Oreochromis niloticus: one gene and its partners. The protein of the gene in region 2 binds, or shares a complex with, the protein of the main gene of each other region. Links are inferred from orthologs where the notes say so. Each region holds a gene or a part of one and is shown on either strand. Other genes may lie near its edges. The genes, in order: gdf5, bone morphogenetic protein receptor type-1A and bmp2b.

Region 1 (10,221 bases), on a different chromosome or scaffold from region 2:
AGATATATCAGGGGCATCAAACACGTGGTTTAGGGGCCAAAACTGGTTCCGCAAAGGGTCAGAGTTGGCCGACTGGATGGGTTTATTAAGCATGTAAAGTACAGTGTTGTTATTGGTTACTGTTCATGGAGCAGTTTTACTCAGGAGTCAAAATTACTGGACTGTTTTATTGAGTGCTGTTATTAAGGGCTTTTAGCCTTTATCTAAGCAGGTGAGTGGAGAGTGGACAGGAACGCAGGGACGGAGCGCAGGGGAAGATATGCAGCAAATAACCCGGGGTGGATTCAACTACTGCAATAGCCTTAAAGTATGTGGGTCACCTGCTCAAATAAAGCTCTAAAACACAGATATTTAGTTTAAAAAAAGACTCTAAAATTCAAATGTTTTGTGATCTGTAAATTAAAAACTCGACATTTCAGGCTGATCATCACTCATTAAATTATGAAAGTAATATAACTACTAATAAACCTACTTTTGCCCAGAGAATGGCGTGTCGCTCACTCGCACACATGGCTTCAGCTTTTTTAACATATTGGCACCGGCCCAGGTGAAGAGGATTTCCCACTCTGGGGGAAAATGTCCAAATCTCTCCTAATCCCAGGCTGGTCACCAGAGCTGAGACAGAGAGATGGACTATTTAACTATTTGCACCAACTAACCTAACCCCAGTAACTACACTTTGGGCAGTGGGAGGAAGCGGAGTGAACCCATAGAGACACAGTGACGACATGCAAACTCCACACAGCTGTGAGACAACACTGCTAACTACTGTTCCTGCATGCAGTGGTTATTTACTGCACTGCTGTACTATCAAATTGCCAAAAATTGGAAAACAAACATTTGATCCACAACCTCACACAGGTAAACAAATGAGTGGGTTAATAAGGGGAAAAATTACTTCAAAAAATGTAATGATCAAAATCACTGCCAGATCAACTTTTAGTCGACTAATCAGGGTTTTAGCTGCTCTGCTTCACACACACACACACACACACACACACACAGCATCATCGGGGGCCCAGAGCAAGACATTGCTCTGGGGCCCCTCAGGAGGTAGGTTCAGCCTTGCATGTGGCAGGAAGAAAGAAAGAAGGAGCGGCAGCAGTAACGGAGGAATAAAGGCAGAATAAAGGAAGAGAGTAAGAGTGAATGAAAGGATAGAAGGTAAATAACGATCAGTTCCTCGTCTCAGCATGTGGACGAAGTCAGCAACGACTCGCTGAACAAATAAAGGCCACATTAAAAGTACATTAAGTGGTGGAAATGTAAACCTTCAGCAGCAGCAGGAACATGAAACTGCGCTCATTTAAAGACGCTTCTAAAACTGTTTTACATCGTAAAGACAACATGACACGGGGGGCTGTGAGCACTGTTTATTTACCCTCACGAGGCCGTATATATCACTGAGAGCCGACCAGATGTTAGAAACACACGGCAGCACACACACACACACAGACTCACAACTGCAAAGGAATAAATATACATAAATATGTGCATATATGTGCACAGACATGTTCCAGACGTTAAAACTGCTGAAAGTTTGACATCAAACACTAATTATTCCTCTGCTACACTACCTGCTGTCACAAGACTAAATTAGTTATTGGTCTTTAGAAAAATGCTTATTAGAATGCATTTCTAATTTCATACATGTAAAGTCGCTCTCTTGATCCCCACTGTTTGGTTTTCTCCCACCAAACCTTAAAGTACCAGATATAGACAAACATAGCTGCCATCACAGCTGTAACCCCCTCCTGCCTGGTTACAGTAAAGCCCATAAGCCCCGCCCACTTTATATTTGCGGAGGTGACCTGAGCCAAACTGAAGCCAATCTGAGAGAGCCATTTCACTTCCTGTCGATCCCAAACTGGCTGAAACTCAAGTGTGCAGTGGAGGGTGCTCGTGAGAAAGTCCTCAATGAACAGGAGTGAAAGGAGCTAAATAATTATTTCCAGCTGTTTGTAGAAAAAAAGCCCAAGTTTTATTTTAGTTTTCACAAATCCAGCATCGATGATGTGTGCAGCCTAAATTAAATCTACACTCGTGTCCTTTAGGTTTTTTTATGCAGCACTTTAATACAACTGAAAACGAAACATATCTATTGGCTCAGCCGGTTCTGTCAAAAAAATCCCAGAAGAGCACCTCCATGAATCTGGAAGTCCAGAGAGTGGGATCTATTTAATTTTTTTAAAAAAAAGGTGTATGTGCAAAGATTAAAAGCTGTAATTTGTTTTGATGGAAGTAGTCGTGATACACCTGCAGGCCTCTGTTCATGCAAATCAAACACGTTCACATCTCTGTGTTTAAAAGTAGTTTAAAACAAAATGAAATGAAGGCATCATCTCTGTTTGTGCTAAAGCGATATCAACTTATGTCTAACTCAAGCCAAGCTGTCTTTCTCCTGTAATACAAGTTTGTACCACAAGGTGGTTAAATGAGTCAGTGTCAGCTTTTACATAAACATACATACATAAAGGAAGTCATAAAGGAAAATAGAATAGTGCTTCTGATTGGCTACAATTCTCAAAAAACGGATTAAACAGCAGGTGGGTGTGGCTTCTGTGATGGGAGGACCATATAAGGATATCTACTCTTACTGACATCACACATATCCAAATCTAGAAAAAAAAAATCTAAAACTGAGAGTTTAGAGCAGCCTTAGCTTTTGGATGACTGAAATCACTATTTAAAACATCACGTGACTGCTGGAAGAGGAGATATACTAATAGCAGAAAATTATGTCCACTCGAACTTCTCGGCTAATCACATCCTGTTAGCTCTGGATGGAGCTGTTTCTTTAAGCTAAGCTAACTGGCTGTCAGAAAGGGAATCTGACCCCCAGTTTGTTGAACGCTCCTTCCCATAGTACTCCACTCACTGCTGACCTTCTGATTTTAACGGGACAATCCTCAGCCTGTGCCCTCAGCACCACCCTCCTCTGGTGCCCCCCACACTGGCCTCCAGTCCCTTAAAGCAGCTCTCATTCTGTGGGACCTGAGGCTCCAGTGGCATCCTTTTTATACTCCCCCTTTTTTAATTGTTAATGAATTGTGGGTGTGAGGTCTGAACTTGCTGTGGGTTCTAAAGTGAGACTTTAAAAGCAGCTAACAGCCCCTATCCTCTGCTCATCCTCTGGCTCCTCAGATCTCCTCTAACCTTCTGCTCCAGCTGCTTTTTAATCCCCACAGAGTACCAGGGGCACAAATGCATCATCAAGTACCTGTCCTGCTGCCCCCACAGCGTGGACCCCCACCCACCCATCACAGCTCAGCTGGGTGTGTGTCTGCCACCATCCCTGCACTAACAGCGTGTCACTGTCACTCTGTTTCGTGGGACTGAAAAGTAACGTGGGAGCACTCCCCGGGACGCACAGAGGCTCGTGGGTGATGCGGTTACCTTGCCCTTTATCCACGAAGCTCGTGATGGTGTTGGCCAGGCCGGCCTCGTGCAACGTGCTGCCGTTGACGTCACCGCTGGAGAGAGACCAGTACAGCGCGAGCATGTAGTCGTGCGGCGTCACGAGCGGCTGTTTGTGGCTCGCGGCCCCCCGCTGCGCCGCCGGAGCCGGCGCGCTGCGGGCTCTCTGCGGGGACGAGGTGCGCACCGCCGCGGCCGCAACTTTTCCCAAACTTCTCCCCGATGAACCTCCACCTCCTCCACCCGCTCGTGCGTGTGCGTTAATGGCAGCGGGAGCGTGCGCCTTATCGTACGCATCCCCGCCGGGCAGTCGGGAGCGCACGGGCTCCGTGCGCCCTGAGCTGATCGTCCTGGACGCCTCTCCTCTGATTACCGGAGGACCTGCGCGGACACGCGCCGTGGGGCCGGGATGCAGGTGAACCAGAGTCCAGCAGCTGAGCAGCAGAGACAGACGCGTCACGGCTTTCATCCTAAAGCGCGTTCGCCTCCCGCCAGGCTGTCATCGTAGCGAAGTGCAGTGAGATCACAAGGAAGCTGAAGCGGCAAAGAACAGTAAATCCGAGTGGGTCATCCTCACGAGAAATGCACGAAAGCTGCTGCCCCCGCCTGAAACTCGGCACAGACACGTGCCAGGCGGTGAAAGCAGAGACTGTAACGGACGTCTACAAGCCGAAGAAACAAATCCCGCACAGCTTTATTGTCCCACGCGGCATGTGTGAGGAGCATAGTGCTGGAGAGATGTGCCCGGCACAGCAGAACGCAAAGCCCGGGCTGAGAGGCGCAGAAACACTCCGCGGAACTGTTCTGTTGGAAGTCTTGTAAGAAACTTCTTTAAATCCCCCTTTTTTTTTCTCTCAGAGGGAAGAATGGCGTAATGCCGCAGCCCTCCCTCCCTCTCTCTCTCTCTCTCCAGAGTTTGAACTCCGTCCAGTGAAAATATTTCACTCACACACCAACCTGCAGGTGCTCGAAAAACTCCTCCAGCGAACCTGAGCGCAGGAATTGGAAACGGAATTCCAGAAAACTGGTTTAATTACCGCGTGATGTCATGCTGCCCAAACTCATTTAACAGCGATATTTCTCCTCAAATCTTCCTCCCTCTTTTCCACCAATGACTCACTGAAGCTGCAACACGGAAAGGACCCCCCCCCCCCCACACACACACACACACACACACTCACACTCAGGAGGGTAAAGAAAAAGTTTACATCACTGAAACGAGCCAAAAAGCGCAGAAATGAAAATCTCCACTCATCGGATTGATCTGTGTTGTGTTTTTCAGCAGTACAGATTATGAGGCGCACTTTTGTGCTTTGTGTCTCTTTGTTCTCATTAACACATATTTATATCGCTCAGCAGCATCTCTGGATGATTCCATGCTTCACAGTTTCTATAAAGGTAAAAAAAATCCAAACTCCAATCTTCTAAACTGAAATAGGTGACATCATTGTTGGGACATCCACCTTTCATGTTTTCAGCACTGTGAGCTGCCATTCTGTCCCACTGCATACTCTGGTATAGATGCAAAACACGAAACACTTGCTTCTCATACGTAAACCTACTTTAAAAAGCCTTTATTCTCTCTTCCAGCAGCCACAGTACACCTGAGTGGACACCGCACTGTCACTACTGTCATCTGTCAGCATCTCACACTTGTTTAGAAGCCATCAAAGAAGAGTGAGACACGGGATGAAGAGCAATGACATCAAATTTATTTAAACGAACATGAACAAAAACCACGAGCACTGAGGCTGTGCGCTGGTGGAGTCATGTGGAAGAAGAGCTTCAGAAGTCTGGGACCAGGTGACTCCACGGTCTGCTCCATCCACCATCACCCCCTGCACTGTGGAAATAGACCACACAAACAAACTATACAAGCAAGCAAACCATCACAAAAACTTGTAACGGTGTCACCTATCCCAGCATGCCCTGCACCATCACAGCAACCAGCGGAAGGAGTTTACGGGTAGAGAAAAGAGACCACATGTCTGTCACCATGTCGTCAGCCGGCCTTCGTGACTGTAATTCATTTACTGTAATTATCATCTCCGTGTTTTGTTAGAAACTTTCCCCACCAGGAGGCAGCGTTTTCACAGACTGCTGGAATATCTTCAGACTTCTAACTCAAGTTCAGCTCATATCTTCTCACAACATGATATAAATGTTATTTATTCTCCTTCTTTTCATAGCAGACGGTAACTTTGGAAAGTTTAAAGCTATTATAAGTACAGAAATTTAAAACAAGTTCCTTTAACATAACAGATGTCCAGGCTGTGTGGCTGGAAAACCACTGATGGGACAGTGGATGGGATTAACCCGTGCCGAGGACGTTGCTGAGACACCACAATGTCCACTTCCACTGTGCCGAGCTTTGTGGCTGTCATGTTTACCAGAATGGGCCTTTTTGTCACTCCTGGGAATTTTGGCATACTGACTAGTGTGATCTTTCCTGGAATAATTAATAGCATACTGGTATTTGAACTCCCTGCTAATGTCAGAAATGCCTTTCTGTTGTGTCCCCTGGTGTGCAGCGCTGTAGCTTATATGTATATTAGTTTATTCTTGTTACTAGGGATGCACCGATCCCGATACTGGTATCGGGTATCGGTGCCGATACTGTAAAATGTGTGCGTACTCGTACTCGTAAAAGTCAACCGATACCATGAACCGATACTAATGTAGCCCGGATGGGAATTTGGTAGTAGATACTCATAATTCCCATGGACTTGAACGCCACATAAGGTGTTCACAGTTCACAGAAGAGAACGGCATGGAGAGATGCACGAGGTTAGCTGAACCAAAGTGAGAGACTCGGCTAGTTTTACTGAGGTTAACTTGCACAAAAGAGTGTGTGACTAGAAAGCTAACTGTGTGAGAGCTTCGCAACAGAGTGTGGGTGAAGTGACTTTTTGTTTCAACGGTCGCACCACCGTCCGTGGAAAACTGTGTTTTCAGCCATGACCGCTGAGGCTAAAGGCTAGCCCGGACTGCTTGGCTGCGCCACGGAGGCAGCTGCTATGGACTGTCGGAGAGCTGGACAGTGACTGGCTAACGCGCTGTAGCAGAGACAGCATCGGGTCCGCAGGGAGTGGATTTAGTGTGGGACTGGTGAACGGCGACCTACCGAGCAACGGAACTGTAAGTCAGACTTTTGTGCTCTTACTGGGGAGAAGAGGATTTTTCTCCATCGTCCGGCGTGAGCAGCAAACAGGCCTGCAACAAGTGTGAATGTGAGTGTGTGTGGGGCCCATGTGTGAATATTGTATGTTTAGTGGATTTATATACCGTGTTTTGGAGTGTATATTAGTGAGTCACTTACCAAAAGGTGATAACATAAGTTGGGTTGTTTAATATAATTTGAAAGGGAATTATTTCATTTATACAGTGTATTTCATTTGGTTAAGGAATTGGAATATCATTTGAGTTTAAAAAAGGGATGTGTTGTACAGTATTTGTCTCTGCCCTTACGTTCAGTAAACGTTTCGTTTGTGTTAAAGAGTTGTGTGGGGTCGTTTCTTTACTACCGGTTAAGTTTAACTTGTGTGTGGCAGAAGTATCGGTTTTTGTACTCGGTATCGGCAAGTACTCAGATCCAAGTATCGGTATCGGATCGGTTTGAAAAAATTGGTATCGTTGCATCCCTACTTGTTACTGTACCTAAATCTTAAGAATTGGCCTCAGGTGATTTCATATGACCTGCAGGCTGCAAATGTTTTGCCTGAATATTAATGAATATGTAGTTTTTGGCCACAGTTAGTACCTGTCGTGTTTTTAGCTTGACTGGTGTTGTGGGTATTTGTTTTTCTGTTTTACTGTTTGCCTCTTGCACACTGTTAAACTCACTTTGTGTATTTTTTCTCGTAGTCTACGCAGCCATCAATGACTGTACTGCATTAGAGTTTTAATGTATTACATCTATTTAATTTTAGTATATTATCCTGTTTAAATTACAGTTAACACACTTGTGGGTCTCATATTTGACTGATTATAAAACCTCGAGTTTTCACACATCCATGTTTACAGTGTTTTGGTCTCCTTCTCTTCCCGGGAGACGAGGCGGTCGGTTCTGATTCTAACACTGTTTGCCAGTTTAATTTATGATGCCACGAGCAGCTCCAGCTCGGTGCCATAACTTTAGTTTTGACCAAACTCGAGGAATAATTAGCAGCCAGGGTTCAACCCCGGAGCTCCCGGCAGTGGAGCTGGTCTCTGGTGGTTTGTAACTGGAGCTGGTTCTGGTTCTGGTGCTGTGTTTGTCTTTCCCTCTCTTTATTCTCTCTGACCTCAGCTGCTTTTCTGCCCACCTGAGGCCATGACAGAAGGACAGGAGTGATCGGATGATACTGTTGGGATCGGCTCGACTGGATGTGACCGGTAACAGATTGCGCTGTTGCACATTCACACCTGACTCCAGGTGACAGTGCCTTAAAACCACATCACAACTGAACGTCATTAATTACTGACCAGTGTGTTTTCACGGCGCACAGTGGAGCACATGAGGCGACTGATTTGGTGCTAAGTGAATAAAATTGAAGTGAATGGAATGAATATTACAACAGTGTGTGAAAGTGCTACAGTAATGGTTTTCTGTGTGACTTTATGGGTCGTTCATGTCATTGTGGTAAAATTTTGGCTCACTCTTCTTCACAGTTCATTGAGGTTTGTGTGGATTCATTTATGCACATCTCACAGCACTTCGGTCGGGTTGAGGTCTGACTTTGACCTGACCGTTGCAGCAGCTTCCTGTCAGAGATTTGCTTCTGCGCTCTGGATCATCGTCCTGTTGTTGACCCAGTTTGGTCTGAGCTTTAGTTGCCAGACAGACGACCTCACATTTGACTCTAGAATACTTTGGTTTACAGAGGAGTTCACGGTCGACTCGATAACTGCAAGCTGCCCACGTCCTATGGCTGCAAAATGAGCCTGCATCCCCAGCCCTCCGCCGCTGAGCTGACAGTTGGTATGAGGTGTTTGTGCTGATATGCTGTGTTTTGGTTTGTCCGACTGTGCTGCTGTCCACGATGGGCAAACACCACCACTTTGTTCTCTCCTGTCCACAAGACATCGTTCCAGACGTCTTGCGGTTCGTTCGGATGCAGCCAAACTTGCTCTTTATAGAAAGAAGAGGCCACAGGGCTTCCAAACAAGCCACACTTATTCAGTCTTTATCTAATTGTGCTCTTACAAAGTTTAACATGCTAACTGAAGCCTGTAGAGTCTGAGATGGAGCGTTTGTGGTTGTTTGTAGCTTCCTTGAGCGTTGCACAGTCTGGCTGAGACGTCCACTTCGTTAACACAAGCTTGAGTGCTGCAGACCGGAAAACTGCCAAAACTTCTGCTTTGATTGGGGTGCTCACACTCAGTGATGATCAGTTAATCAAGTGCATTTGATTAGCAGCGCCTGGCTGTTAGTTGAATCCCAGTGGAAGCAGTAAAAGTGGACTTCACTCATGCGTCTGCATTTCTGATATGTAAACCGTAGAAATGAACGGGGTGTACTTTCTTTTACCAGGACTCTACGTGTGCACGTCTACAGCTCTCTCACTCGCTGAGAGGAATTCCTGCACTAATCAAAATGTAGCACCGTGTTTCCACCTTTCATTTTGGCTCATTTCATATTATGTTTTTGTGAAGTTTTAACTTTCGTGTGTTACTTTAAAGTCTTCCTTGTTTCTTGTAATGCACTTTCAGGAAGGCGTTCCGCTGTTATTGAATGTGTTACAGAAATAAACCCGATGGACACTGCGGGGGTGTGAACACTTTTTATAGCCTGTGTATATTTGAGGGCACTTCCTGTATCGGAGGAATCGTGGGTGTGCGTTTGAGCGTGAAATGTAAACTGATCCCCGGACCTCGGATTCCTGCTCTGGACCCACCGGTCTCACTCCAGAAAACGTTGAGCGCAGCAGATTGGGACACAGTTTGGAGAAAATGTGGTTTTCCTTTGGCAGGTCTGGCTCGTGTGGCATGCAGGACGCGGGGAACATTTCATTCTGAAAGATAAGTTGTTGACATTTCTGAGTCTGAGACATGCAACGAGGATCCCAGGCCAGAGCCAAAACCAAGGACATCAAGTGCACATGGAGTCTGATTCGAGCCAACTGACAAACAACCGTTTCCAGTACGCCTGAGCTGCTCCGAGGCGAAGAGCTGCCTCGCTGCTTTTTATTCTGGCGAATGTCAAAGACACAGCGAGGGATTTATCCTGACGCTCATATCAACAGTCTGTCATAAGTCATGATTTTATAACAAACTGCAAGCGTTTGGAGTCGGTGAGCATCACACCCTGGGACTCCATCAGCTCCAGACCAACAGGCCAAAGGATGGGACCGCTCCAACTGTCAGTAAATATGTCAACGTGTTCCTGAAGTCCTCGCTCAGGTCGCCTTCACATTATTTCACAGTTCCTGTAATTATCATTCTGGTTCTCTGCAGGATCCTTCAGATCATCTACAAAAGTTGGGTGAAGCTCCACCTGTGGTAAAGGGTTGAATGGTTACACCCCTTCACAGCCTTTTTGACTCAACTCGGTCTTTTCCAGTATTCGGCACCGCACACATCCATGTGAAATTTTCTGGGCTAAAATTCACATTTCGGATCTGTTTAAAACTACAGCCAAAAGAATTTCACACAACTCCAAGTGTCACAGTCTGAGGCCAAGATCTGTTTTTGTTCAGCACGACTTTCTCCATAACCAGCTGCATCGTGGGACACGTTTAATGTCTGTGACGCGAAGGAGCAGAAACAAGCATCGATACTCCGGATGTTTGATCTTTTTTCTGATCATTCCGTGGAAAAAACTTC
Region 2 (10,811 bases):
ATCCTCTTCTCCCCAGTAAGAGCACAAAAGTCTGACTTACAGTTCCGTTGCTCGGTAGGTCGCCGTTCACCAGTCCCACACTAAATCCACTCCCTGCGGACCCGATGCTGTCTCTGCTACAGCGCGTTAGCCAGTCACTGTCCAGCTCTCCGACAGTCCACAGCAGCTGCCTCCGTGGCGCAGCCAAGCAGTCCGGGCTAGCCTTTAGCCTCGGCGGTCGTAGCTGGAAACACAGTTTTCCACGGACGGTGGTGCGACCGTTGAAACAAAAAGTCACTTCACCCACACTCTGTTGCGAAGCTCTCACACGGTTAGCTTTCTAGTCACACACTCTTTTGTGCAAGTTAACCTCAGTAAAACTAGCCGAGTCTCTCACTTTGGTTCAGCTAACCTCGTGCATCTCTCCATGCCGTTCTCTTCTGTGAACTGTGAACACCTTATGTGGCGTTCAAGTCCATGGGAATTATGATTATCTACTCCCAAATTCCCATCCGGGCTACATAAGTATCGGTTCATGGTATCGGTTAACTTTTACGAGTACGAGTACGCACACATTTTACAGTATCGGCCCCGATACCCGATACCAGTATCGGGATCGGTGCATCCCTAACTATATGCTTTAGCAAAAAGGAAAGTTTGAAGCCTAATCTTGAAAGTAGAGATAGTGTCTGTCTCCCGAATCCAAACTGGAAGCTGGTTCCACAGAAGAGGGGCCTGAAAACTGAAGGCTCTGCCTCCCATTCTACTTTGAAATAGAGATTGAAAATGTGACGTCATTCAGGGGTAAAACCGCAAAGGATTGTGGGAACGAGTGGCAAGCCATACTAGCGCACGCAGGCTTTCACATGAAAACAGTCACACAGCGATAAAAACAAACACAAAATGGCAAGAAGCTGTTGTATTATTAAATGCAATAGCCGGTCGCATGACAGCCACGGGAAGCCGACGGGTAAAGAAATCGTTTTTATCGGATTACGTCGTGGAAGAAAAATTGTTCAAGCCATGTTTCCGAAGTAACAAAGAGCCGACGGATGGCCTGGATTGCAGCCATTCGAAGACCAAATATAACGTCCCAGAACACTCCAGCTCACATGTTAGTCTGCTCCAAGCATTTCCACAAAGGTACGTCTTCTGTTGTAGTTATTACGTAATTTATCATAACATAATTGTTGATGTAGGTTACAAATAAGTCTTATATTGATTTGAATTGAATTCGTTGCGCTATGCTGCTTTGTTCACTGTGGCTTTGCGGGCTAATGTTTGTTGTGTTTTGTAGGAAAACCAGCCTACAAAATGCTGGAATGCGATGCAGACTGGGCGCCTCTATCAGCCTGGGTCAGACAGAGTTTAAAGCTGCTACCACAGCCAGATTTGATCGGTTAAGAGAGAGAGCGACATCAAAACAGCCACGAAACGTCCCGCATATATGTGCCCAAGGGTTGTATTGAAGCAATCAAGTGATGAATAACTGTTTTCCAGTATGTTGTTTTGCATTGTTGTTTTTCACCGAAGCAGCTAATAAAGCATAATCGAATACAATTTTGCTTCTTTCTTGTAAGATTCTATAATAGAATGAAACAATAATGCCAGTTATATCGTCTTGATGCATTCTCAATCATCCAGGAAAGTAAATCTCCAAAAGTTGAATCTGTTCATCTGGACGTAGCGTTTTGTGGGAGAAACGTTTGGTCACTCATCCAAGTGACTTCTTCAGTCTCAGACGAAACGTTTCTCCCACAAAACGCTACGTCCAGATGAACAGATTCAACTTTTGGAGAATGCCAGTTATAAATAAAGACAATAAATTGAATGAATTACGAAACACTCATGTTATTTCTATTAGATCTGAAAATGTTGTGAAACGACAAATAGATGCGTTTGCCTGTACAGGAGATAAAGGAAAAGAATGTAACAACAGCTGTGAAATGGAATAGTCCAAATCACCAAAGTAAACTGGACCTGGGCTTGTTGCAGGGATCTGAAGTTAATAAACAGCTTGTGAGTGTCTGCACTCACACTTAGGACCATATAGTAATAAATATGTGCGTGATGGAAGTTGGGCAGCACGCTAACGTCCTTACTCCGCTCTGTACGCTCGTACGGGTCTGACCCTTTCACTCCTTTGATTTTTTCCTCGTACTTTTTTTTTTTTTTTTTTTTTTGCCTTTTCGTCAACTCTGTCTTTGTACGGACCTGCCGTGTTCTCCGTCGTTTTGTACATAACTGTTTTTGGGGCAAATAAAATGCAAGTAGGGATTAAAACTGCAGAATTAATGATTACTGGTGCTGGAAATGCTAGCGCTTGATGCAGTGTTTTGATTTTGTTGCCACGGGTACCCAGAATGCAATGCGCGAAAGTCATGTGGTCTGTCAATCTCTGTTCTCTAGGAACAACAAGTAAGCCTGCAGTGTGAGAGCGAAGTGCTCTAATAGGGTGAGATGGTACTTACTATGAGGGCTTGCATTTTGGGTTAACTGAAGGCTTTTAAGGGAGTTTTTGGGACTTCCCGATAATAATGAATTGCAGTAGTCCAGCCTGGAAGTAATAAATGCATGAACTAGTTTTTCAGTGTCACTCTGGGACAGGATATTTCTAATTTTAGAGATGTTGCGCAAATGGAATGTGAACTTGAAATGTGAAGAAGACTCTCCATTTACATGCACAAATTGGAGTCTATTAGATAGATATGATACAAACCACTGCAGTGCAGTACCTGTAATACCTACAGCATGTTCTAATCGCTCTAATAGGATATTATGGTCAACAGTATCGAACGCTGCACTGAGGTCTAGCAGGACAAGCACAGAGATGAGTCCACTGTCAGAGGCCATAAGAAGATCATTTGTAACCTTCACTAAAGCTGTTTCTGTGCTGTGATGAGCTCTGAAACCTGACTGAAACGCTTCAAATAAGCCATTCCTCTGCAGATGATCTGTTAGCTGTTTGACAACTACTCTTTCAAGGATGTTTGATATGAAAGGAAGGTTGGAGATTGGCCTATAATTAGCTAAGACAGCTGGGTCTAGAGATGCTTTTTGAGTAAAGGTTTAACTACAGCCAGCTTGAAGGCCTGTGGTACATAGCCGATTATTAGAGATAGGTTGATCATATTTAAGATCGAAGAATTAATTAATGGCAGGACTTCTTTGAGCAGTTTTGTAGGAATGGGGTCTAAAAGACACGTTGATGGTTTGGAGGCAGCAAATATTCAGAGGAACAAAATAAAAATGTGGTTCCTTATTTAATATCTGATTTTTATCCCCTAAAAATCTCTATTTTTCATATCTGCAGCTTTAAGAATATTTGAACCAAAAACGAAATAAAAAATGAGAAAATGAGTCATTGTACTGAGAAGAGGAGTATTCGTGTTTGACCTTTATGAACTTCCTCTTTCATTTTTATCTGTCATCAGTTTTCTGTAACTCCAACCGAAAAACATGACTGTCACACCCACACATCATCGTCATCATCACCATCTTCATCCTCATCATCAGATCATCGTCATCATGATAACGAGCGTCGTTCTTGTTGAGCGATGATAATGCTGTTCAGTTTGGAGCCACCAGAGGGAGCTAGTGCCCTCTCCTGATTGCGTTTCAAAATAAAAGCCTGCGGGTTTTTGAGCAGCAGAGATTGGACTCAGAGAGGAGTGAAAAGGGGAAGAGGTCTCACTCTGCCGCCAAAAACAGCTCTTAGACTACATCACTGACTTTCTAGGCAGTTATTTTTGTTTAAGCCTCAGAATGCCAGTGGCTAAAAATATAAAGTAAGTTTATAAATTATTTTTAAATCAACTTTCCAGATGTATAAAAAACCTCAGATATGATGCTGACTCGGAGGATCGTGTATTTATGTGTTTTTGTAAAGATAGAAAAAGAAAATATGTGGCTCAGCTTTTAGAACCAACAGGAAGCCCAAATATATATTTATATCATCAAATACCATGTTTTGAATTAATAACATTTTATTTATTGTTCTAAATTAGCATTTGAATCAGTATAACATATACCTCATATAAGTATATTATTATTATTATTTGCAATGTTGAAGCTCAGCATTTATACTTTCTTTATTTTTTATTTTGCTGAATCATTGAGACTGGAACAATTAAAATGAGATTTTACAACATGTGTTTGGTGGCAGCATGGTGGCACGGTGGTTAGCACTGTTGCCGCACAGCAAGAAGGTCCTGAGTTCAATTCCACCATCAGGCCGGGGTCTTTCTGTGTGGAGTTTGCATGTTCTCCCTGTGTTTGCGTGGGTTCCCTCCGGGTACTCCGGCTTCCTCCCACCGTCCAAAGACATGCAGCTTGTGGGGATAGGTTAATTGGATAATCCAAATTGTCACTAGGTGTGAATGTGTGAGTGAATGTGAGTGTGAATGGTTGTCTGTCCTTGTGTGTTGGCCCTGCGACAGACTGGCGACCTGTCCAGGGTGTACCCCGCCTCTCGCCCTATGACAGCTGGGATAGGCTCCAGCGCCCCCCGCGACCCTGAAAAGGATAAGCGGAAGCGAATGGATGGATGGTGTTTCCTTTGCTTCCAAAAATACCAAAAGAAAAGAGTTATTTGTAGTCATAACGAGCTGCCGCGTGATGATTTATGTCATAGTTCATTAAGATAAGCCAAATCACAACAGCTGTTGCCCGGAGGCTCTCATTTATTTGTCCATAATACTTTTGAACCTGAATGTTTCGTTCCATATACAATCAGTAAATTAAGGGAAAACGCTCCCAGCTGAGCCCTCAGGACCAGGTAACTGTATTTCAAGACTGAAGGTTTTTATTTGCAATTTGCGCACAGGACCAACGGTCCATGCATGCTGGAATTATTGCACAGAGCCCTCCAGGTCAAGTTACACTTTTTACAAGATACAGACAAAGCAACTAAAAAAAGGAAAATAGAATTAAAGCAAGGAATAGAGCAATCATAGTATTTACTATATACAAAAACAGTGTACAGAGAGGGTGATAATACACTTCCTAGTACTGGATTCAGTAGCGGTTTTTGATATGGGCGACACGGGCGGTTGCCCGGGGTGGCATCGTGGTGGGGGCGGCATCACGGGCATCGGCAAAAAATTTTTTTTTTTTAAAAAATGCTCGTACTCATGCTGCCCCGACGTCATGCCAGCGCATACTGGGGATGGCATAGGCACTGATCGGTTTTCTATCGCCCATTTGCTGGGAGCAAGGGCGCCCTCGTTTGCGAGGTGCGCCTGCTGCTTGCGGCACAGGGAGGAGAGGGCGGGGCGGCGGGGGAGTCTCTGGCTGGCTGGAGCAGCATCTAATAACCAACTCGCAAAATAAAACAAAATAAAAACAAACCAACAAACACGAAAACACCGGACATCATGATGCAGACTTATAATTTGCACCAATGTTTTTTTGAAATTCTATACGCGAAAAGTGAGCGCGAGAGCCCTCGGTGCGCCTGCTCGGTGCTGAAGTCAAAGTAAACTTTATTGGCATCTCCGCTACATACAGTCCAGTATATAGAGAGACGAGACGACGAGGCTCCAGTTACAGCAGTGCAAGTAAACGAACAATAAATATTTAAGAGTAAAAAAATAAATATACACTTTAGGACTCGGGGTAAAGGGATCAATAACAATTTAAAATTTACAGTTTACAACTTGATGATTTGAAGTCTCACACAACCCGTCGAAAGGGGAGGGGGGCGGCTGCTTCCAAATAGAGCACAGAAGGAGTGTTCACCCAGGGCGCCAAACAGGCTAGGACCGCCACTGACTGGATTAGATTCGATTGGATAAAACTTTATTAATCCATCGGGTGGGTTCCTCCGGGAAATTCAGTTCAATTGCATGCATAACATTGCGCTTATTAATGAATCCTTCATACTACAAACATGTTCTAACTTGCAGGTCATTCAGGTACACAGGATGCAAATAATGCTAGATAAGAAGAAAAAGTAAGAAAACAGAAAAAAATATTGGGGGTTTTTAGGGAGTGAAAATAGAAGAACGCGAAAGCCTCACACCTGGGCCCCTCAAACCCTCAATCAGACGATGATGCACATTTAATCTCAGGTCCTCTGAAGTTACCTGAGAGGTGAAACAGTGAGCGCGTGCAAATTTTCCACACGCCCCTCGTTCCGACCGGAAGTGTTTTGTTATGCACAGTGAGTCATCGCGAGACCAAGAGACGATCTCTGCCTGGTATTTGCTTTTCTGTCTAAAAGCAGCGCAAACCCGCAGAGGCGAGCGGAACGCACGGAGCGGAGGACGCCGACGAAAAACGTCTGGAAATATAGATTTCTCCCCTAATAACGGAGGGAGGGAGGCTGGAGCGAGCTCGAACCGGTCTTACAGGATGAAATAACGCGGGAGAAAAGGTTCGAAACATCCAGGAGAGAGTAAAGACTCAGGAAGAAAGGTGAGTCAAACGATCCCAAACTTCAGTCCAGACTGCGGGTATGAGCCCGACTTCTGAGCGCCGTCTATTTACTGGAGTACACGCACTCCCTTAGGATTTTTATTTTTCAGTGAATCAGCTTTAAGTAGGCCTGTGTGTGGGTGTGTATAAAATAATTTTAGTGTGTCTAACTGTGGATGTAAGTTAAAGAAATGAGAATTTTATCGGTGTACAGATTTTATTTCTGTGCCAGCAGATAGACGCATCCCCTCCTTCTCTAACTGCTGTCGTGGAAAAAAAAAAGTTGGCTTTAGATTTGCTGCAGCAGAAATTTGGCTCGTTTTTGATTTAAAAAGTGACAGATTATCGCTTTAAACTCACAAGGGCTTTATCTAAACCCTAGATTCGGACTATTTTGGGGTGTAGGGGTGTTTTCGGGGGGTTTTGGTGAAGTTTGTTTCGGTAGAATTTGTTTCCAGCTCGGATAGCCGCATTCCTGTTAGCGCTGCTAGCTGCGAGTTAGCTGTGAGCGGGTTTAAGGTGCTGAAACGAAGAAGAAAAACAGGTAAATAAGTTTGTTGTCAAAGTTTTTTAACGGCGCTTTTCGTTGCTGACCTTTAATGTTGTTAGCCTGGTTAGCATCGTGGGCTAACCAGCCGTGTTTCTGTATGTTTACCTGCTTCAAACTCTGATTTTTGACCCACCTGAGCAGGCAGGTAAAGCCACCTGTGAGCTCTGTTTCCAGGCTGCTTCGGCGTGTTTTAAGATGGTTTTGATCTCACTTCTGTCTCTTGTTTATTCCGCCATGTTTCTGGCTTTTAATCGTTCACGTGTCTGCAGCTCATAATCAATACAGTCCACTGATCGACTAATCGATTAACTATCGCGGCTTTTATGTCTTTGCAGTGTGAGAGGTTTTATAAGGTAGCATAAAAGAGTCACTTTTATTTTCATGTACCTCCTTAAAAAATCTTAAAGTACTTATTTAAATTTAAAATACTTTAAATTTAAACAAAGGCCATTTCCTATTTTTAAAATGCGCGGACATGGGAGTAATCTTTCCAATAATCTGTTTATCAGACATATCAAATTAACTTAAAAAACTGCTGCTGGTGTGCAACAGCGGGATGAAAGAGTTCCCGGAGAGGCAGCTGATTCCTGAGCACCTTTAATGTGATCTCATTCACACCTTTGTCTAATAAAAAACTAAACACACCCGCACACCTGGTGATGGCAATGCAGCTTGCCATCACCAGTGTGTGAATGTGTGTGTGAATGGGTGTGTGAATGGGTGGATGACTGGTTGTGTAAAGTGCTTTGGGGTCCTTAGGGACTAGTAAAGCGCTATACAAATACAGGCCATTTACCATTCACATCCACCTCTCACTGCCCAGCACTGTGTGTGTGTGTGGGGGGGGGGGGTTTAACTCACGGTTTCTGTTAAACTGGAGGATCTAACATCCAACCACATCTGGCATATACAGTTTAATCACCTGTATATGAAACCATTACTGGAACAGCCAATCATGTTAAAGGCACATTCATCTGTGTCGTGATTCAGTAGACGTCCTCCTTCTTTACAGCACAGACTCTCACTGTGTTTGCTTATATGAAAATCTCAAACATGAGGCCGACGCTGTAGGAGAATGAGAAGTAAGCGGCTTAAAGTGAGCACAGTTACCTGGACCTGTTTGTTGTATTCAGTAAAAACGATGCGTGAGCTCTTTAACAATGCTCTGTGTCCTCTGTGTCATGTTCAGCGTTTACACACCCCTGTCATGTTTCATCATTGATGACCAATGCAGAAATAATAAAGAGGAGATTTAACATCACAACAATAATAATTTAATCTAAATGGTCTTTAGAGTCCGTAAAATTCCCTTAAGATGAAAAGTGATGTGAGGTTTTCAGAGTCGTTGTGTCAGATGCTAGTTTGAAATGTAACAATGACTGTTGAAGCGTTTTTGGCTGTGGAGGCAGAGCGAGTCCAGATGTGCAGGGAAAACCCTGAAGCCCGAACTGCCCGCCTTGTGTGGGCGAATGACATGAAAATGCCAAACATTATTTTAATTTACAGCAGGAGTGGGCGATATGAGGTATGTCACGATATTTCTAGAACATTTGGGATCATCCTACCAGTGATGCTTGCAGCTCTGCAGCAGCATCTGTAAATGTAAATCAGCGACTTTACAGCCAGTGATGAGGCGTTAACACTCGAGTTTAACGGTAACTAACTCGTCAGGCACGATTTTGTCACATTTCCTAACTGGGATCTTAAATGCTGGTCGAGCTCTTTGAAGAGCTGCTTTTTCACCGATGTAACGGCATCATCAGTGATTCTATCCAGCTAGCGACGCTCGATGGTCATTTGTCCAGATTTGGGTCCCACGTCACCGGCTGCTCGTGTCTTCTTTGTTGGAAGCGGGGTGTTATCGATGAAAGAGGGGTGCAGAGCAATGCAAATATCGATCATATCGATACCAATGCTGGTATAGGTACTGGATTGATCCAAGCACGACAGGATCCTTAATATATGCTTATATTAATTATAATTAACTTGCCTTTACAGATATGCGTACTGGTATCTGCAACACTGGCCCTGTGTTTACCTCTGATTTGCAGCATCATGCAGCACTGCTCGATGGTGTGTGCTTTTGGGAGGGTGTTGAAGTAGCTACTGCTTTAGGTACTAAATCATCATCACAGGCTGCTCTCGCTCTCAGACATGTCTGGGCTTGTCTTGCTGTTGCACACACCAGGGAACTTAAACATGACAACATGACACTTTAATATCACTCAAAGTTTTATACCAGTGTTGTGCCGACGATACGATTTAGAGGCACAGAGTCGGTAAAAATCGCCTGAAGAGTTTGTGGCATGAGAACTGCAGCGTGTTGGGATGGTTGCAGTAAAATCCTGCATGATGTTTCTGGACCACATGTTTAAGAATCTAAGTGATCCTCGTACATGCTAAAGACTGTCTGTTTGTTTGATTATTGGACAACAACCTCGAGCAGCTAAGAGAACCAGAGAAGTGAGGTCCCAAACAGAGTAACAGATGCAGGCTCTTTCTTAATCCAAGTGACTTAAAAACAGGCTTAAACCTACAAAATACACGAGTTTTGGGGTGTTTAGTGCTGATTTCCTGGTTGTTTGCATGTTTGCTTACTGTATATGGATGCAGGGATGATAACAGATATTATTTTCACTGTAAGCCGACTGCTGATGCCTCGAATGGGCCTCTGATAAACATTTTTGACCCGCATCGCTTTAGGCGGCGTCTTTTAATGGCTGCTGAGAAGAGGAGGAAAACCTGTTTGGCTGCCCCTGTGAGACCTGGCTGCTGGCATTTATCTGCCTCCTGCATGTGGGTCATTAAAAGGTCTTCAGTGACAATCAGGAGGAAGAAGCTTCAGAAATGTTGCTGAAAGTAGATGCCAACCCTCTGGGTCTTCTTCTTTGTTTTGTCTTTTGCTGCGTCTTTAACTCTGTTAATGGTACAGAGTCTCTTAATATTGTTTAATGCCTGTTTGAGTATTTTTAAAAGGCTTTAGAATCTGTAAGGGTGCATGAAGCCTTGTAGGGGTTTTTAACATGTTTAGAAGCTTTAACAGTGTCTCAATTCTGTTTATTGCATCCAAAGTCTTTAAAGAGTGTTGTGTTTAAAGTCTAAGGGTGTCTAAGCTGGATGTCCGTCTGTCGTCTGTTTAGTAGTTAGCTTTGAGATGCTAACAAACAGAAATCAGACAGTCCGTGCATGCATCCAAACCTCCACAGCTAAACGGCTAAAACCACCAAATGACGTCTTCAGGTTCCTTTTTCCTGTCTGCAGCCTCACATACTCTGTTATAATAACTTAAATCATGCGTTATATTTTACTGTATTTTAAAAAGGTCTACAGAAAGCATTGACGTCGTTGTTGCTCTCACAGCCTCTACCTTTGCAGGCCGCCTCCTCTTCCTCCTCCCTGATAGGGAGCAGAGGCACACAGCAGGGCGGAGAGCGGGTGTTAGAAATTAAAATCTAGTATTATCCGTGTTTCAGGCAGCTGTACATTCCTCAGCCAAGCCTAGATCACTGTAACCGAAATAACACTGACAGCAGGCGAGTGAGCGAGGCCACAACAAGAGAAACGGGGGGGTTCTGAAAAAGATAAGACTGACAGTCATCTTCTCCTCCTCCTCCTCCTCCTCCTCCTCCTCCTCTTTGTGTCATAAAACCACTGAATCTTTATTTTTTGAGTCATGTTTACAGTTTAAACCTAAAGACATTCCGAGGGATCGGTGATTTCTCCTGTGTTCCATAAGTAAATGATCTATACCTATAAAATGGCACCAGACCAGACCAGTGTACAGGAAGACACCAGTTAATGCTAATGGAGTCTTGCAGGGCAGCTAAACCCTGTATCCCCGTGCAGCCACAGATTACATTTTCTT
Region 3 (10,409 bases), on a different chromosome or scaffold from region 2:
ACAATTTTCTTTGAGGCAGCCCTCCCACTTTGAACTCTTACTTTATGAAGATCACAGATGATGTATAGACACACTTTTTAATCTGTTTGGTGCAGCGCCGTAAACACAAACTTTGAACTCTTTGCTTTTTCAAAGGAGGCATTTAGGAAATTCCACCATCTCATCCTAAATCTCCCTCCAGAGGCACAAAGACCTCAATTAGGCCCATCACTCCTTATTTGATGTGGGAAAGCCCCCTGTCTCTTGTTCCCCCTCCTCTGTCCCCAATCCCTCTCTTTCTTTCGTTCCTCAGCTCCCAAATCCCCCTTTCCCTCTGTTCTCTTAGCCCCAAATCCTCTTTTCTTTCTCTCTCCTCCTCTTTCACGTCTTCCTCAATTTCTTTCTACAACAATATTCTCACTCTCTCTCGTTTTCTGTTCTTTGAGGTTTGGCTATGTGAACAAGTCAGGGCCTGTCACAAACGTGTGAACCACAGATATGAGTGTATCAACATTCCTAATTTCTTTTTGTGCTGCATGCCAAAACATAAGATAAAGGCTAATGTTGGGTCATTCATCAGAGACGTGTCTCTGGCAGCCACTTCCTGTGTAGTAGTGGAAATGTTCTATTTGGCATGGGAAATGGTTATTTTTGAAAACTGATAGCAGTGAAACTAATTATCCTAGTGAAATGAATATCAGGCAGCAGATGTGATGAATGATTAGAGCAGTTTGCTTTGATGTGTTGCGTTTACATCTGTAGATACATGCTTATTATATGGAGCAGCCATCAATTGCGTGTCTCCTGACGTGGGAAGACGAACAGCCCAGCAGCTCTGTTAGCACGGGATGAAAGGGCTGGGGGGACGTATGTAAACACAGCCTGAGCGCATTCGTAATGGCCAGTGGTGTCAAGGTGTGTTGGCCGGTGGCAGAGGTTTCCAGTAGCTGGCTGGGGGCAGTCACTCAGCCCGGCTGCCCAGGCCAGGGTTGTTTGTAGTGTGTCGGTGTAGCCACTTGGTGTCATTGCACTAGGCCTCTGGAGAGCACCCAAGCAACCACTCAACCACCCCTCTGACTCACCCCTGATGGAAACTTCCCCAGTCAAACACTTAGAACTCTGTATGAGGACTCTGTGTAGAGCCCCTATGGACACAGTCACTTGTATGCTTTGACAAATGGAACATAGACCCTAAGATGGTGAATGGTGATAAAGCATCACTATATGTTTGACAGTAAACACTGCAGTGTTTCCTTTTTATCATGCGTGAGTCATTTTAATATCACAGCCAGGTGCAAAAGACAATATAGCCTCGGATCAATAGAATATAAGTAAACCATCATTTTTATTTTCTCAGCTGCTGTTTTTTTTTAAGTTATAAAAGTCCACTTTATTTGTAACACTGTGCGAACATCTGTGTAGTTGTTGAACTTAGTGCACCTTATCCAGGATGTATGAGGCTTTTAGTGCCAGTCTTATATATATGAGCAGCATATGTTATCTTTGAAGTGCAACGGAGTTGAACTGAAACATCAAATTCAACAAGCAGCACCGTATCCACCGTACAAACTAAGTGAGCAATTATAGTGTTATTGGAACATGCGTAATGGCGCACTGCACGGGCTCAACGGGGATTTGGAAAGACGAATAAGGCGGGTACCCCCCCCCCTTTTTTTTAACCAAAAACTAATTTCAGCCTTGTTAAAAATGACTCAGAATTCAGTCTGACACGATGACTTTGTCATAATGCGTGTTAGTATAATGTCATGTCGTGTGTTATTGAAGTAACAGGGTGATGACTATCACCTGCGCAAAGGCACACCGCCCTTTATCCTGCTCCTGTGGTGCGTGTCTGGAAAAACTGTTTTCGGAGCCCACGCAAACACCATCAATTATTAAGAAACAAATTACTCCAGGGATACCACCGCCTCTTGATGTTTTAAAGCCTCTGACAGCAGCCCCAGGGGGATGTTCGGTTAAATGTTGCATCACAACATTTGTGGGAGGTAATTAATTGCGTACGAGATGCTTGTTTGTAAGTCGCGTTACTGAGTTTTAGGCAATCCCGAGCGTTTTTAAAAGTAAGTTGTAACTTAGACGCGTGTCACCTGTAAATGACTAAACCTCTATAAAACAGCGAAGACTCTGAAGTTCAGTCTTGACGCACTGAGTCATGTTTAAATATAGGTTTGGGTTGTCTGAGAGAGCCGAGAAGCTTCCCGGCTGACAGGTAAAGGTATGTCACTAATACATACCTTCATGGTGAAAGCTTCTAATCGTGTTGGCCTTGCTGGCGGCTCTCTCTGCGTGTTTCCCCATGCTCTTGGGTCGTTTGGTGCTATGGTCTCCGTTTGCTGAATGCATACGGTAAAGGTCCACCATATACTGCGGCACCACGGCTTGCTTACTCGGGGTCGGCCTGCGCCCCAGTCCAAACACATTGAGAAGCCGAAGCTCAAAGTCGTTGAGGAAGCTCTCTGACTGCTCTGGGGTCTGCTTCCCGGATTCGCTGTATTTCCTCCGGCCGACCTCGGGGATAAGTCCCGTAGCACCTTCCAGCAACACCTGAGCGAGCAGCAGTACCATGAGAGAGCGGACCACGGCGACCATGATCAGTCAGTCCCTGTGGAGAAAGTTGGTTTCTGTCAATACACTGGCGCTGAGGTATTGACATGAGGTAGACGCGGCAGGGACCTCACTGCAGCATTCCCTAAACTGTGTGTGATCCCCCTACACAGTCGGAACGATTGAAGGAAATCAGGTTAAAAGGGAAGACAACGCTTCACTTTGAAGTGGGTAAAAAGAGAGAGAGAGAGCGAGAGAGCGAGACCCCCACCGGCAATATAGCGCGTCAAAGCTGAAAGAGAAGTTTGGTCTTAACATGAAGTGATACATGAAAATATCAAGGTGAGGAAGCTCTGAAAGAGAAGAACAAAAAAACGAGGGACTGACTCAGAAAAAACAATCAAAGGATTTGTGGATAGAGATCAGACAAAAAGTCTCCAATTAGAGGAGATAAGAAATCACGTTACGGGAGGTGGTATGAAAAAAAGAAATGCAAGTCTGTGTAGCCCGACAGATCACAAGAAGCATCAAAGAATACAGTGAAGGGAAACGGGTTAGTATGCACAGCAGCAACAGATGCAACCAGACGGTGTTACAAGCGTCTGTTTGCAGGGGCTTTGACGGTCGTGTGTAATCATAAGGGATAGAGTTACTTCAAGAGGCTCGCAGGTGTTAGATCTGACGTGCGTACCAGATGTAGCCCGGGACAGGACATAAAAAAACATGAAAAACCTAAGCATCATCTGAGCAGCACGACTTCCAAAGAAACAACCCTTTTCCCCTCTTCTTCTTTTCATAGTTTTCTCCGTGTGTAGGAGAACGCTTTAACTTTTACGCACACACCCTATAATCACATATAAACCAAGAACTAGCAGGGAGGGGGGGGGTCACTTAGAAAGTAAGCTTTTCCTCGTGTAGCAAGTTATTGTACAAACATTTCATTTTTTTTTATTTACGCCAATTAAGTACTTTAAGCGTTTATCAAAAAACCGTGAGTTTTTATTTTACCTGACGAGAAAGCGCTGTGTCCGGTCGTCGTTCCACCTTTGGGCTCCGATAAATTCCACATTAATTCGTGTTTAATCCACGTTGCTTCTCCTTGGGGGACCAAAGACAGCCCATAGCCTTCGCCGATCGCCTCTCACACATATTATCACCAGCTGCGAATCGGGTTAGGTCTTGGTCAGTCCCGAAAGGAAAAAAAATTATGTGAATTCTACGAGGAAACGGCTTCGCGTAGGCATAACCGATCTAAGTATAAAGAAGCTTCTCTGAACATCTTTACCAGCGAACAGTTATCTTCTGCTAAAACTGAACTTTTCCGCGAGAGAGAGAGAGAGAAACACGATAAGCGGACCTTAAAGTGTCGCTCTTTTGGACCTTCTTGCTGCGAGTTGGAGAGCGCGTCGCCTCTCTTCTGTGCGCCGCACTGGAGTGTTTGAATTGATTGTTGCCTTCTCTTCCCCCAGCGCTCTTTTTGTCGTAGTGATGTCACCAAGGGGATGTCAATCATTTGTCCACAATAAAGCACCTCCTGCGGACCTCTACCCCTGAGGCTCCAAACGTTTTCATGACTGAAAGGCTTGGACATGTAACTCTCCTTTTTTTCCCCTACCTACGCTCATTATACATCATTGAAATGAAAACGAAACAAGAGACAGAAGAAATAATAAAGTCAAGAGCAGTTAAAACCATGCTGTTGTTTTTCCAGATTGTTCTTTTTAAATGTTTTTTAGTAGCATCAAAATGGCTTTTGACAGTCCCTAGATGGTTTAATACTCATGTGAATTTGACCACCCCTGAGCAATAACATGTCAGCTCCTGCTGTTACATAGACACATTTTTGACCAGTGGTGTTAATGGCTGGATCAAAAATGTTTAGTTTTTGGATTAAGTCTAACAGATAATGGGTTTATAACTTGTTGCTTTAGTGGTTTCAGAGGATTAGATGCTGCAAAGTGACTGTCACATTCTCCTGCTGAACTTCACTTTGTGTGAATGTTTGTGCATGTGTGACTTGTACACGCGCTCCCCGCTGGCTGCATTAGGCTTTTTCATTTCTTTCCAGTTCGCAGCGCTTTATCAATATATCTGTGGCAGCTTTGGCTGCAAGAATTGCTGTCTTATTCTTCAGTACTGCAGACGAGCCAAGTGATAAAATCTTGTAAGAAAAATTCCCCAAGAAGGCAGTAATGTTTTCACTAAGTTTATAATTTAGAGTTCACACAAAATTGCATCTTAAAAAGGATGACCGGTTAAGCGAAGCATGTTAGCGCACCAGTTGATTTGGCTTTTCTAGGAAAAGTACTTGGTTCTTTTGTGTAGCCGTTGAAAGCACAGATGGGTGAGGGAAATTTTGCTGCTTTGTTTTTAGCCTGAGGGGTTGTAGTCAGTAGCATTGGTGTTTATGTGATCTCCATAAAAAAAACAGCCCCCACTGAGTTCCTCTGCTCTTATCCATTAGGTGATAATGGTGGCTGTGTTTGGGCCAAAGCATACTGACTTCTTCGCAAGATAGCGAGAGATTAAATCCCACAGCGATCACAAGATATTTGTCTTCCTTTAGGACAGTAATATTTTATCAGGGATAATCCTGGATCATCCACTTAGCAATTAAAACATGGTAAGGCCAATGAGTGTGTGCTGCTGTCTGAGTTACAGTGTTTCCTTTCCATTTCCTTGCTGCATCCAGGCACTTCAGAGTTTAACTTTTTTAAGGTGCTGAATCTAATTAGCTTCTTTGAAATCTACTTAGCTTATTTGGATCTTATTATTGTTTTGGTAATGTATTTATTCATCAGAATCAGCAAATGGTGACAGATTGTGATGCAGTCTTTTTCATGGACTTTAGTTCTACTACAGGTCATTTATTCATAAAGATTTTCTCCATTGTTATGTTAATCTGCTGGCAATTGAGTCTCTGTTGTTGCCAAAATACCACTTGGTAAACCTAGTGCTCTAAACCCAAATCCAGGTAAAAGCTGCATTCAGGCTGCTGTAGATTGCAGGATAAGTCCTCCCACAGCAAGCTGTGAGCATCTTTAATTACTCGAGTGACAGGATTAGAAACAGAGGGCCTTATCTGATTATTTGTCCGTCTTTTTCTTTTTGTAGGCATTTTTGTGGTTTCACTAAATGATCATGTCAACGTTTGTGTGTGTTTTGAAGGCATGGACATGCATAAATTGTGTGAGTGTGTTTCCTTTGGCTCAGCTTATGTCAGGCCAGTTCTGAGGAATGTGCCAAGCCAAGGCTGTTGAGGGACTTGATCAGTGATGCCCAGGGTGGTTTGAGAAGATCTTGTGGCTCTGACACTGTATATGTCATTGCTTATCATATCGCTGCTGATCCAATTACATGCTGATTGAAAGAACAACATCACAGAATGAAACCCTCATGGCCAGAGAGGGCGGGTAGAGATATGCTATCTCAAACTCAAATGAACGACCTACTGAGAGAGTCTCTGAGAGCCTTAAACTTTGACTTAGCCAGACACTATTAACTCAACAACCACCACTAATGGCATGCTTATTTCTTCTAACAAGTATCTGTTTATTTGTGATTGTAGTAAATATTCTTTCAAAGTTATGGAATCAAATTCAAGGTCAACATGTGCTCAAATGGCTCTCTGCTGTTTTAAAGACCTAAATGCACTGCTGTGCTGGTCCCGCTGCTTATAGTAAAAGGAAAAACAAGCCTGTGAGCTGTACAGAGTTTCCCACATGTATGTTTAGCTTCAGCCCCATGCTTTCATAATATATATGTTTTATTTCTTTAAAATACGTAAAATCTTGGAAAAGTCCCTCTCCAGACATTTATTAAAGTTTATTAAATAATATTATTTATTAAAAGAACTCACGTAGATTCACCACAATTAAATGTTCAGAAGCAGTTTTTTTTAAATGAATATAAACCCTTATGCAAAAAAGGGCTTTCCCTAATTTAATATGCATATCAATATTGGTCCATGCCTGCTCCCTCATCCTCTTTCCACTGGATCTGTGAGCTTCACTCATAAGTTCTCCTGCAAAATGAAGGAAAACATAGGTCCAGTTGTTAAGCAGTTGAGGAAAACCTGCTGCTTAAACTGTAAATCAGGAGGTCCAGAATAAAGAGAAGGTGCTGTTCAGCAGGTCAACAGTCAGAAAAAGTCAGAAAAAAAAATCAATTGACAGTTATTAGTTAATAGCAATCTTTTAGCTGTAAAATTAAACTAAATGAAACAGTCTCTCCTATATAGACGTTATGTATGTTGGACCTGATTACATTATCAAATCATATTCTGTTATTAAAGATAAGGTTGCCACTTCTATTAGTCCCCAGCCTGTAAGTTGGAGGGATTGGTTCCTAATGTGGGTGTTAGCACATCTGTGTCCATGAGGGTTGATTTGGGTCTAAGTGATGTACATTTTTGTGACTGTGGACTCATCTTTGGAAACTTTGTATTATGTAAACTGTAATTGCAAGGTGGACTTCAATGGGCTTCGCAGAAGTACAACAGCAATGACTACATGTCCACAGTGTCTCCAGCTGCCCATGTCCACAGCAGAGTAAAGTCGTCGCTTTAGGTTTGTTATGCATGAAACCTGGCTTTCTAAATCCATGCTTTAAAACCTGTCATTGCAACACTGCAGTCTTTGTCTCACTCTCTGGTGTGCCCTGGTGTGCCTTCTAGCATATAAAAACAATCACATTGGCATGTTAACAAGGTTAAAAAAGGTTTTTTAGAAATTAACATTTCTAGCGTCTGCAGGTACAAAGCAATTAAACACAATTTCAAGCTGACACAACCAAAATTTCCCTGATTTTTTTTTTTAAGTCTGCAATGACCTACAGGTAGGTCAAAAACAGTGCTGTGGAGCATCTGTCCATCCTCATAACAACAATTTAGCTATAGACTGTTGTTATCAGATTAAACTGGTGGTCTTGGAAATCCTTTTGTCCCAGTCGTGAGGACTAATATGACCAGTCTCTGATCCGACCCCTGAGGCCTTAAGTCTGTGCTTAGAATCAACACAACTGAAAATTCCCAGACTCACAAACACTGTCGCACAATCACCGCTTTGTTCCTGCTTTGTGACATCTTTTCGTTCTTTGAGTTAAGAGTTGTTTTTCCCAAAATTCTATATGAAAATTTACTGCCTTTCTTTGACAAACGGAAGGCAACATAAAGCTAAAATTCAGGTTAGACTGGAAAAAATAGCAGGTTCAGGTTTGCGTTATAAAACACTCAGACCCACACATGTACAAATGATACATTATGTAATCATTTAAAAGTCATATTTCTTATTGTTATGCTCCATTCATCATTCAGCTTTGGGGGGAAATCTTCTTTTCTAACCAAAAACATAATATACAGTAAACCACCACCATGTACTTTTGCTTCATCTAATAGATGTATCTTTTTTATGGAAACTCCCTTATGGCAGAACAATACATGGCACTTTTAAAGAAAGCATAATGAATGTATTGAAGGGGAAATGTTTGAGGTTATTTGAGAGAGATGAGGATAGTGGTGTTTTAACACATAGATCCTGTCAAAAAAATCAGAAGAAGACATGGCTTATTGTCCTCAGTACGGTGCTTTACATGCTCATTTGTTGTCCCATGGATGTGTCTGTCTGCACATGTTATGGTGGATGTGGACGGCGCAGCCTTCTCTTGTCATCACGCACATTCCACAAGTAAGGGGGCAGACAAAGCCCCGAGATGACACTGCAGATCTAACTATTAGCCTTTCACCTGCTGTTAACAGTAGCTTGGCTAGACACAGGGCCTGCATTCCTCTGCCTTGATGTAGCCAGATGTAGTTTTAACAGACTGTATGTGTGTCCCCAGGGAGATAATCTTCAGAGATGTTGTTTGAAACCAGGAAACAATTTGTTGTTGTGACTCATCCCTAATTCAACTGCAAGGCAGTGGCGTCTTTTTAATTTAGAAACCAGTAATATCTTCATCAGTCCACGTGTTTGACAGCAGAAGCACGACTGCTGCACTACGCTAAGCACGTGCACATGGTGCATGAAAGAGATTGTGGCAAAATGGGACACATTTCAAATAGGTTTGTCCCAAAATGGAAACCCACCAAGGTCAGAGACGGCCAGCTAGAAAGCCAGAGTCAATATTTATGGATACTGAACATGTGGCACGCTTCTCTACCCACTAATTTGAGCAACAAGTCCACCTCCAGATTATACGACCTCTCAGAGATCACAAGAGAGGGTCCAAACCTTGCTCGCATGGTTCAAATATTGAGAAGTACGCTGAGGTTGGTCGCACACAAGAAGCTGTGCGTAATTTAGCAAATTGGCAGAGTGTTTATTTGTTTGTGATTTAATTTCCTGTGTAAATAGGGTGCAAGGAAGTTTTGATCAGCGAATCGTGGTTGCTCCTTCATCCACAGAAGTTGTTGCTATTTTAGATATTATAATTATTGTATTGTGAAATCACTTTGGGCTGGCTTTTGTCAAAAAACAACAATAAAAAAAGACTTTTACACTCAAATCCTCCACCATAAGTCTAAAAAATAATGTATTTTGTTATTAGATGCATCTTTTGAATTTCATGCAGTGTCCTTTTTCGTGCCTGGTAAACTGCTGCTGTAAAATCAGTATCAGCAGTGTAAAACATTTAGCTCTGTACTGACCTCACACTGTGACAATTTACATTAAGAATCACATAAACATTTTAAATACATTTAGCTAGTTAACTAGTTGGTATAGCTGCACTGCAGCTACTTTGATTTTAAAGAGAGAGGCAGAAAGACATAAATACAGGGATCTGCCCTTTGAATGCAGCTCCACTCATAAAGACACCACGCGTCACTCAATTATATGTCTGCATGATTAGAAGCTTGGGCTACGTAAACAGCCAGCGTCAAGATTTACATTTTACCGCTTAAGCACAAGCAGCTGTTTACAGGCCAAAGAAGGAAGGAACACTTAGTATCCATACATGATGAGGAATAAGGAACATGCATCTTCAGCAGATGATGCTTTCAAGATGCTTTCAATTAAAGGTTGTTTATGTAGATCTAATGGAATATTTGGTTGGAATATTAAATTGCTTTTTAATCTCTCAGCTCTGCTGCTTCTGGGTTTTAAACATGTAAGTCTTTGCAAGCATCCATCTGAGTAACACTGCTTTTAAACCCCATCTAAAATGATGCTTGTTTCTGTGGAACTATATGGGCAAACACACATAGTGGAGTACCATGACCTTTAGAAGAGAACACATACTGACAATATATTTAATCAGGTTCTGTTGGTGATGAAATACCAAGACTCATGCATAGGTTCATATATACAGTATGAAACAGTCTTAAGTCACTTATTCTTTTATAATTTGCTTCCAAGGAGACTTTCTTGTCATTTTTAAAAGTGAGAATAGTTCTCAAGGCTTTCTGAAACTTTTTCTTTGGAGATTTTCTAATTTTCTTTCCAGTCCTTGTGCCTGAACACTTTCAGAGAAACACATGACCTGTGAATCATTCAACAAAAGCGGCTAAGTCAAGAGGGGGGAGGGGGTGGGCATTGTTGTATCTACACATAATAGAAAACTTAGCAAAGAAACAATTTTAAGTTGTATCTTTAGGCATTTGTTCCTATTTCCTTAGCTGAGTCTACAAAAACTGCCAAAGATAACATAGTTAGACAGCCCTTTTGCAACAATAAAGTGATTCCCAAAGAGATATTAGCTGAAAACTTGGCATATCTAGGCGTGGAGGGCAGTGTGCCCTTAACAACTGAGAAAATTGGACAAATGCAGGACAAAACAAGAAGTGTGAGGCCTAAAAACCTGTCTACGTCAGAGAAAGAGTATCTGATATTCATATCCTCTAGAAACAGGAAGAATCCAGCAAAGAC

Evidence for each region.
Region 1: the proteins of bone morphogenetic protein receptor type-1A (region 2) and gdf5 are in contact, whole or in part, in a crystal structure (PDB 3QB4), measured with the Homo sapiens proteins. The link is inferred for Oreochromis niloticus from reciprocal best matches to the Homo sapiens genes BMPR1A and GDF5. Residues at the interface, in NP_001393490.1 of Homo sapiens: Gly65, His66, Cys67, Pro68, Ile77, Thr78, Phe83, Ile85, Glu87, Cys100, Met101, Lys102, Glu104, Gly105, Phe108, Gln109, Asp112, Ser113, Lys115, Ala116, Gln117, Arg120, Ile122; in NP_000548.2 of Homo sapiens: Arg399, Phe435, Pro436, Leu437, Ser439, His440, Glu442, Pro443, Asn445, Val448, Ile449, Leu452, Ser455, Met456, Pro458.
Region 3: the proteins of bone morphogenetic protein receptor type-1A (region 2) and bmp2b are in contact, whole or in part, in a crystal structure (PDB 2QJ9), measured with the Homo sapiens proteins. The link is inferred for Oreochromis niloticus from reciprocal best matches to the Homo sapiens genes BMPR1A and BMP2. Residues at the interface, in NP_001393490.1 of Homo sapiens: His66, Cys67, Pro68, Asp69, Ile77, Thr78, Asn79, Phe83, Ile85, Cys100, Met101, Lys102, Glu104, Gly105, Phe108, Gln109, Asp112, Arg120, Ile122; in NP_001191.1 of Homo sapiens: Lys297, Pro330, Phe331, Pro332, Leu333, Ala334, Asp335, His336, Ser339, Asn341, Ile344, Val345, Leu348, Asn350, Ser351, Val352, Asn353, Ser354.

Annotation. Positions count from the first base shown.
Region 1 is NC_031970.2:3,001,173-3,011,393, reverse strand, and holds the start of gdf5 (growth/differentiation factor 5), read right to left. Parts: upstream 4,540-10,221; 5' UTR 3,887-4,539; coding exon 3,397-3,886; intron 1-3,396. UniProt on the Homo sapiens protein: Growth factor involved in bone and cartilage formation. During cartilage development regulates differentiation of chondrogenic tissue through two pathways.
Region 2 is NC_031978.2:120,024-130,834, forward strand, and holds the start of bone morphogenetic protein receptor type-1A, read left to right. Parts: upstream 1-6,158; 5' UTR 6,159-6,396; intron 6,397-10,811. UniProt on the Homo sapiens protein: On ligand binding, forms a receptor complex consisting of two type II and two type I transmembrane serine/threonine kinases.
Region 3 is NC_031980.2:4,167,189-4,177,597, forward strand, and holds the start of bmp2b (bone morphogenetic protein 2b), read right to left. Parts: upstream 4,107-10,409; 5' UTR 3,902-4,106; exon of another isoform or gene 3,553-3,901; intron 2,603-3,552; 5' UTR 2,590-2,602; coding exon 2,235-2,589; intron 1-2,234. UniProt on the Homo sapiens protein: Growth factor of the TGF-beta superfamily that plays essential roles in many developmental processes, including cardiogenesis, neurogenesis, and osteogenesis. Induces cartilage and bone formation.